2 linked regions of the Schizosaccharomyces pombe genome follow. Each later gene encodes a partner of the first gene's protein in a complex. Each region holds a gene or a part of one and is shown on either strand. Other genes may lie near its edges. The genes, in order: gos1 and sec20.

Region 1 (4,812 bases):
ACTAAACCTGAAACAATAATAGATGTTAGTTTTATAGCTCTTTCAAAAAACCATAAACTTGTTTTACTAGAATCCCAAAAGGATCCTTCGTTGGCAGAACATCTTCGCAATGAATCCTTACTAGACAAAGGATATCAGCTCCCGTGCTTTGCAAAAAATCCAGTAACTGGCAAAGCTTTACCAATATTTTATGCTCCTTACGTTTTGGACTGTTATGGTACTGGCGCCGTTATGGGCGCACCTATTCACGACCGCCGAGATTTTGAGTTTGCTAAGCGTAATAACATAATATTTTCTAAAGAAAGTTGTATAGGTTCATATTTTACAAATGAGGGAAAAGAACTTTTGAATCATCATGATTCTTCGAATTTAATGGATATCAAGCAAAAAATGCTTCAGCAAAAGATTGTCAGTTACCTTGAAGAGAAGAAATTAGCCAAACGTGTTAAAAATTATAGACTCAAAGATTGGCTTATATCAAGACAAAGATTTTGGGGTACTCCTATACCAATGGTTCACTGCGAAACCTGTGGTGCTGTCCCAGTCCCTGAATCTGAACTTCCTGTAAAGTTGCCTGATCTTGATAAAATATATGAAAAAGGTACTTCGCCGTTATCAAATCTAGAAACATGGATGAAAACAACCTGTCCGAAATGTCATGGCCCAGCAACAAGAGAAACTGATACTATGGACACATTTGTAGACTCATCATGGTATTATTTTCGTTTTTTGGATTCTAAAAACTCGGAGCTTCCTGTAGGTTTAGCAAGTGCGTCCTCTTTGATGCCTGTTGATATTTATATTGGTGGCGTTGAGCATTCAATACTTCATCTTCTATATTCCAGGTTTTTTTCAAAATTCATGAAGGATATTGGGTTATGGAATGGTGATAAATATTTAAATGAACCATTTACTCAACTAATTACTCAGGGGATGGTTCATGGTCTTACTTATACAACGATGTCGGATGAACGAATACTTAATCCAAAAGAAGTCCAGAAAATTGGAGACGAATATTTTCTAATCAGTAATCCTAAAGAGAAAGTTCAACTTTCTTACCAGAAAATGAGCAAAAGCAAGCATAACGGTGTAGATCCGATACGTACTATTCAAAAATATGGCTCAGACATTATTAGAGCTTACATAATATTTTCAGCTCCAGTGGAAGGCGTACTCCTTTGGAATGAAAATGCAATAATGGGAACAAAACGGTGGTTAACCAAAATATGGAATTGTGTTCATCAGTTATTGGAACGTGAGAAAAAAATGTCTGATGCGATGAGACAAACGAAGTTAACTATTGTCGACGATCACAATAGCAGGAAACTCGAATCACAATATAATGAATTTATTTCACAATGTTCTGCTCATTATGAAAATGTATTTTCTCTCAATTTAGTAATTTCTGACGCCATGAAATTGACTAATAATATAGCAGATGCTTTAAAAAATAACAAAGTCAATATCGGAACAATTAAAGCATCTTTGGAAGTGCTTGTGAAATGTATTGCTCCAATAATACCTTGTTTTTCAAGTGAGTGTTGGTTGCTGCTAGGACATAATTCTTCCGTTTACTCTAACTGGCCCATTTCCAAAAATAAAAAGGAGAATATGGAGGAGCCCGTTACTATTCCTGTCCAAATTAATGGTAAGGTGAGATTTAAGATTGAAATGCCCAAACTCAATGATGAAAATGAAATACTAAATTTTGTGCTTGAGACGAATGATGGGAAACGTTGGCTCTCTAATAAAAAAGTTTTAAAATCTTTTGTGAAACAAAAAATCATCAGTTTAGTCACCGACTGAAAGTTGGTTGAGACACGAGCTTCATGTTTCAAAATAATTTTGATATTTACCATAACAATGCAATGTTGGTTGCGTAGTTAATTTAATGCTTAAAATTCATTTTGAATGAAAAATATCCTATCTTAATATCACAATGTTTTCTAGTAGCATAGCTTTTCTATCACTGGTATATTTAGGAATCTCTACGTAGTGGGATACTTCTCTAAACTACATACTAGTAAGAACGTCATCTGAAAGCCACATTAATCAACAGAAGAGAAACGTTTGTTTTAAAATCATAACTTAAGCTACTAATTTTTCTCTTATAAAAATTTGAAGATCTCTTTAGCCATGAAGTCTATGCTTTTGAGAGATTCGGTGAAAAAAGCGTCTCAGTTCCAAAGATCGTTGCACAGTGATCCTAACCAAGCTAAAATTCTGCTAGAGGAAAGAAGGAAGCTTCTTGAAGAAGCCAACTCTTCAGCTGACGAAAATGACTCGCATTCAATGGCTACTATCAAATCACATTTTGAAAGACTAAAACGAGATGAGCAACTTCTTAATGGCGTTTTGAAAAAATATGATGCGAAACAGGAAGTTCTATCTCCTGAAGAATTACGAGATGCACAAAACTTTTTAGAAATGCAAGAGGCAAACTCTTTAGACAATTCTATTAGAGGCACTAATGAGCTTCTTGAAAGAGCTTATGCTACGAGGGAAGACTTTGATTACCAAAATAGCGTCTTAGGAAATGTGACCAATCGCATAAACGGGGCGGCCATGTCAATCCCTTTTATTAATCAAATATTAAGGAAAACCTCGATCCGTCGAAGACGTGATTCTATCATTTTAGCTTTACTCATATCTGTCTTGATGCTTTTGTTCCTTTTTTTTCATTAAGTTGCATGTTTTATGAAACGTTTATGAAGGGCATTGATCCCGCCAAAGTTATGAATATGTCATAAAGGTTTAATTAAGATGAAATAATATAAAAGTCCTTTTACTTTTAACCAACGTTTTTATTTACCAAAAACTTAATCGCTGTCTTCAGGTTTTCAATTTCGACATTAGTTGGATCACCGGTTCCAAGCCAGCGAATTTTGCAGGAATCGTCAATTAAATACACATTTCCAACAAGTTTGTTGTTCCATCCTATTTCTGGGAAACTGAACTTATTGTCGTATGCTGTAATATATTCATTCTGCTAGTTAGCAAAAGGTTATAAATTTTGGAAGTAAATAAATCTATCTTATCAAGCGAACAAACTTGTGAGCAGCTTGGACAAATAATGCGTCTACTTACCCAGCACTTTTCTGGTATTGATCTTTTAACTTTTCCTATAAATATCTTCTGTAGCCAATATTTTATTAGATTGGATTGAACATTTGCATAACGAACTGGCAGATAATCAAATGGAGCTAGATGTTGAATCCAATTCCTACATTGGTTTTCTCCAAACGCGTTGCTAAATAATGCAAAGAAAAAGGGCGAGCCTTGCCAATCTTTATATAGCTCTTTGTACTGATTTCGTAATGACTTCCCATGAAAGTTGTACATCCATAAGGCGCTCTAAAACGTGTCAATATTTTTAAGCAATAAACTAATTTTTTTTCATTCTTATTTGAAATTTCCAGAAATGAATATTACTTTTAACCAATTGTTCATACCTTCTCCTTAAATAATCTTGGAGGACTGTAAAACAGCTTACCATTAAATCGACGAACTTCGTTGAAATCTTGAATAGTTGATCTCTTCATTTCATTCAGCAGCTCCTTCTGTCTTTGCTCAGGAGAAGATGTACTCGCGGGTTTGGTAAGTTTTTCCCATAATGTTGGCTTTTGGACTTCAGAAAGCATCGTCGGTTTTACCAGTAAACCTACTGGAATGAGAGCAGATGGGGCTTTTTCTTTTGTATCATTGAGACTTTTGGTGCTAAAAGAACGCAACTTGAACTGATGCTTAACAATCAACCTCGGAATGACTAAATTTTTTAAATAATTATATGCCATGTTTACCAATTATAGGTAGATTAAAGGGGAAATAATCTTTAATTTATTATGCGATTTAAGAAACGCAAGGATGAACTTAATTATTATTATAAACTTCAATAGATAGGTATAGCAGAAAGGAGCTGTTGTTACAGGTGGAAGTACTCTGACGTTAAAAATTCATATCTTAATTTTCATTTTGGTTTTTTAATTTGTTTTTGGACATTAGTATATATCTACGATAAAGGTTTTCTCCTTTTAATTTCATTGTAATATAATTCAAGACTAAAATTGGCTTTTCATTGGATTGCGAATCTTTCATTGAATACTATCTTTTCAACTTACATTGAACGTGCATGTAAGGATAGGAAATGGAATGCTGAGATAATGAACAATACAAACCTTTCTAATTAATTCAATGTTTAAAGCAAACTCATTTAGCGAAAAATTCTAGCTTATTAAAACAGCTGTCAACCAGGGCGTAGAGATTACAATATAAAGACCTTACTTACCCTTCTTAATGTACTACAATACAAAATCATAGTTAAAAGAGTAGCTTTTTACGTCCCTGCCGACTGTTTATGTAGATGCATGAAAAACTATGAGAATATAATTTAGTAATCGTTTATATAAGCTAATACGCATTAATATTATATTAATTCATAATGCTTAAAAATCAAAGCAATTTCAATTTCCAAGTGGGTTAGAAAGTACTAATGGGGGGTCCATATTCTCTTTAAGACATTACTCACTTGAATAGCAATTATGACTTCGTCTACTACCTCAAGTACTATGTGGGGGGGTTGACCACTTATGAAAGTGAACCTACTAAAGTAGTTAGTGATACAAAAAAATAACTAAGTGCGCAATAATTCTCCGTCAACAAATAAATCGTTGAACTAGTATTAGTATATTGGCGTATGTAAGCTAATATAGTCGTTGTTTGCGTAAAACGAATTCAAATGGCTCCCAATCTGTGTTAATACGTTATGTTATGTATGATATAAGCACATTGAACATATCGGGATGAGTCAGTACT
Region 2 (3,756 bases), 3.3 Mb from region 1:
ACGTCGATAACTTGGCCTGGATCAAATTCCAAGTCATCGGAGAAGCTGCTTCTATAAGGATAGAGTGCAACCACTCTTGTGGGAAACGAGCTCATCGTGGAGCCTGCGATCCGCTAATACTTTTTTTAAGTACAAAGAGAGATCAGATAAACAATGAACCAGTATAAAAAGAATGGTACCATTCAATATACAATACACTGATTCTTTTTTCCTAAAACACAGATATACAAAAAGCCAAAAAAAGAGAAAACAAGATACCAAAGATGAAGGCTCCGCCGATTTATTTTACCACTAAAAATATATACAAATGATAGCGAAGCTGAACGTCATCGTTAATCTCTTCTATTAGGATATCTAAGCCAGTACACTGTCATTTTGGTTCCTAAAGGGCACGCGATTTGTGCAGACAAAGAAGTTTGGTCAATCTTAACAGCAATAAACACCCAAATGATAATATCGCACGTGAAGAAGCGACTGACTACATGTGAGACGATTTTCAATGAATGAACATTGTGGGGAAAGGATCTGGGGAATTCCCTTCCAATCGTAACATCTTGTTGACAGTGATTCGTTCGACTAGCCAAAGGTAGCGTAATGCACTGTAAGATTATTGGGTATTATTTTGCTTATCAATGTTGATTGGTTTTTGTTATTTAACGTTATAATAATATTTACGCAATTGGATCTGGTTTCCTATTTTACATAAGGATACACTAGCAATCCTAAAACGAAGCCACAGCATCGTTGGTTTGCTATATTTACGATTACTGTGTGGGTGTGGGGTATGGTATGGATATGGATATGAATCATTAAGATTAAGGACCAGTTATTTACTAGTGGAAGATATGAATAGGGTGGATGTAAATTTATCATTATTATTTTTAACGGTAAAATGATTTTCTTAAAGAGACCTACAAAACTTTCTTTACATGATTGGTGCAACGCATGCTTTTCTTTATTTTTTTTCCTTTGTCCACACTCAACTGAGAGGGTAATTTCTATCAAAATTTTTAGTACCAAGGCCAACGCACTGTCTTAGTTCGCTGTAAATGAATTGCGTAACTCAAGAACTCTTTAACAAAAATTGCACGGCGCTAAAGTATTTTTACGATGCTCATTCCTCCTTCCAATGCTTGACTGACTCATATCTGCCTAATAGCGATTTTTAAGACCTTCTGTTTTCCAGCTGACTCCAATATATCCAATTCAGATATGAACAAAAAATCAATTCTCAAAAAGCCGAAAAATGCTCAAAGCACTCAAGAAAAGCAATTGATCACGTGGTCGAAGAGTCTTATAGATGAAGCACGCAGTCGACTTCAGTATGATTTTTTTGCCCTCGAATGGATTGAAAAGCTGGTTGATCCGGTTTCCCTAGAAACTTTAGAGGAAGCTCGTAAATACCTTCGAAAAAGTGATTACGATCAAGTGGTGAAGGAGCGTAAACTCGTCAATCTGTGCGGTTATCCCGTTTGTCCTTATGAACCTAAGCAGCAAACTAGGTATAAATTAGAAGATTCAGGAATGAAGGTCTACGGTGGACTCAACTATTATTGCTCGAAGGATTGCTTTCTAAAAAGTTGTCAATATATGGTTGAGTTGAGCGACGAACCATTATGGATACGTGAAGATGCTCGCGAAGCTATGAAACAACATCTCGATCCTCGTCAAGATGAAGCATTTCGTAAAGAGTTGGAAAACAAAAAAATTGAAGATGTACGCTTACTCCTGCAAGCGTTGCCTGTGGGTTATAAGGCAAAAGTTGGTGAAATCGTTGAACATCCTTTGGCTAATGAACAATCATAAAGCAAATGGAAGTTTATCAAATTTTTTCTTTTCACCCCAGAATATGTATAATATTTTTGAACAAAAAAGACACCGACTTGTGTCTAGCGTCGTTTGAACTAGAATGAAAGGTTGCTTCATTCTACAGTTGCGTGCATAGTAACATTTCTGTGGTTTTCGACTTTTTATTAAAGATCGATACAATATTCCCTTTACCATTTACACTTTCTAATTTATTTCACCTTATTGCCTTCTATCTTTATTGTCTCTTTCTCTCTCTTAGCATCTTTATTTCTCGTTATTTATAATTCCGCATTTGATTTCTTTTCCTTATTCTATATACCGAACCTTTCGATGTATAGTCTTATATTCACCTTCAGCTGTGCTATATTGTTAGTGCATCCATCATTCGTTTCCCACTCATCATCATTTACCTTTATCGTTCTTTCCTCTTGCATCTCATAATACTATTTCTCCTTTAACTTGTTCAATAAAGCAGAGAACATAGCATTCGATGGCCGACGTTCTGAATGCACTAGAAGAAAAAGTTGTTGAATTACAACAGTCAGAAAGCGTTGAAGTTATTAAAAGGCATTTTCGAGAGTTTAGAAAAATATGGGAAACTGCAAGGGTAGAGCTTGAATACTCATCCATTCAGCTAGACTCAGTTCTACGATATGAAAAGGCTGTACAAGAATACATTCGGTTGAACAGAAGATATCGGAATAAGATTGCTAGTGGTGAACCATGGTTGCCTATCGCACAAGAAATAGGTAAGATTGTAGATGAAGAGGAAATTACCTCACCAAGTGATGGTTCTCTTCAAAAGCGTTCAATGGATAACTCTGGTTCGTGGCAATCTGATGATATTTATCTTACAAGCGCCAGTCAGGTCACGGCGGCTATGCGTGATATTCACGCACAAATGGTACAGGCAGTGGATATGAGTGCCGAAAATGCAATGGAGTTGTCTTCGAGTACCAACTTGTTAGAAACTCTACAAGAGAAATATTTTGGTGTAGAGGACGTTTTATATACAAGTAAACGGATAATCAAATCGCTCAAATTAAGTGATCGAAGTGATTACTTTTTAGTCGTCTCGGGATTTGGGTTCTTCATATTTGTGGTTGTCTATCTTCTCTTCAAGCGAATTGTCTGGCCTATTCTTTCTATGTTTCTTTGGTTTCTTCGGTGAGATTTTGAAAATGCATTGTTTATTAAAAAGAAAGGCGAGATTAAAAGCAAGGCTTTTTGAGGCTCGTTCCCATCGAGCTCGAAGTATCTATACGAGAAATTATTTTTTCGCCCTTTTTCTCAATTTTATTTTGAAAAAGTCTTTGTAAAGTAGTTCTTATGTTTTAATGTTTATCTTATACGATTGGTTTTTATTTACGTGTTGTTCTCTTTAAATAAAAACGTTGAATGGCGTAGAAGTTTGCTGATGATAGTAATGCTATAGTATTTGTAACTCAATGGGAAACGCCATTCCGTAAACAAAATGAGTTCTTGCTCACGAAATATGCGACAGTCGGCATGCAGCTGCATTTCAAATCATTCTTATTGTATATGCCTCTTTGATTGTCAAAACCATTTGTTTGACCACAGTACAAAAAGAGCAGTATTCTTTGAATTCCTAATAAAAACTAGAGCGCTTGTTAATTGGGAAACGCATCTTGTTAAGTCTGTCGCATATTTTCTAGGGTCCGGTACGAACGCCTAGAATCTGAGATCGGATAGCAAACTCCATTAAACCTATAAACTTAAAACTAATAACTGCTTATGTAAAAATTCATTAACCAAACGTTCTAATTATTCAGTGTCCTGGTTCTATTTGTTTGTGTGCTTTCTACTTCAAATGCGTAATATAGTGTTTACAAGCACGTAAGCATAACGATATAAATTAAGGCACATGCCCCGCGATGTCTCACAACAACTTGTCTTTAACCAAACTCTTTACGTTAGTTAACGGAG

What was found.
Region 2: gos1 (region 1) and sec20 share a complex: the UniProt entries of both Schizosaccharomyces pombe proteins name them as parts of the SNARE complex.

Annotation. Positions count from the first base shown.
Region 1 is NC_003424.3:779,351-784,162, forward strand, and holds gos1 (SNARE protein Gos1), read left to right. Parts: upstream 1-2,010; 5' UTR 2,011-2,136; coding exon 2,137-2,685; 3' UTR 2,686-2,791; coding exon of another isoform or gene 2,792-2,986; 3' UTR 2,987-3,087; coding exon of another isoform or gene 3,088-3,354; 3' UTR 3,355-3,452; coding exon of another isoform or gene 3,453-3,794; 3' UTR 3,795-4,069; downstream 4,070-4,812. Other genes in the region: SPOM_SPAC4G8.09 (leucine--tRNA (Leu) ligase), read left to right, coding at 1-1,806; atp10 (F1-F0 ATPase assembly protein), read right to left, coding at 2,792-2,986, 3,088-3,354, 3,453-3,794. UniProt on the Schizosaccharomyces pombe protein: Nonessential SNARE involved in retrograde transport within the Golgi complex.
Region 2 is NC_003424.3:4,103,166-4,106,921, reverse strand, and holds sec20 (SNARE protein Sec20), read left to right. Parts: upstream 1-2,203; 5' UTR 2,204-2,299; coding exon 2,300-2,980; 3' UTR 2,981-3,189; downstream 3,190-3,756. Other genes in the region: bbc1 (SH3 domain-containing protein), read right to left, coding at 1-95; RNA polymerase II CTD phosphatase Rtr1, read left to right, coding at 1,213-1,806. UniProt on the Schizosaccharomyces pombe protein: SNARE required for targeting and fusion of Golgi-derived retrograde transport vesicles with the ER.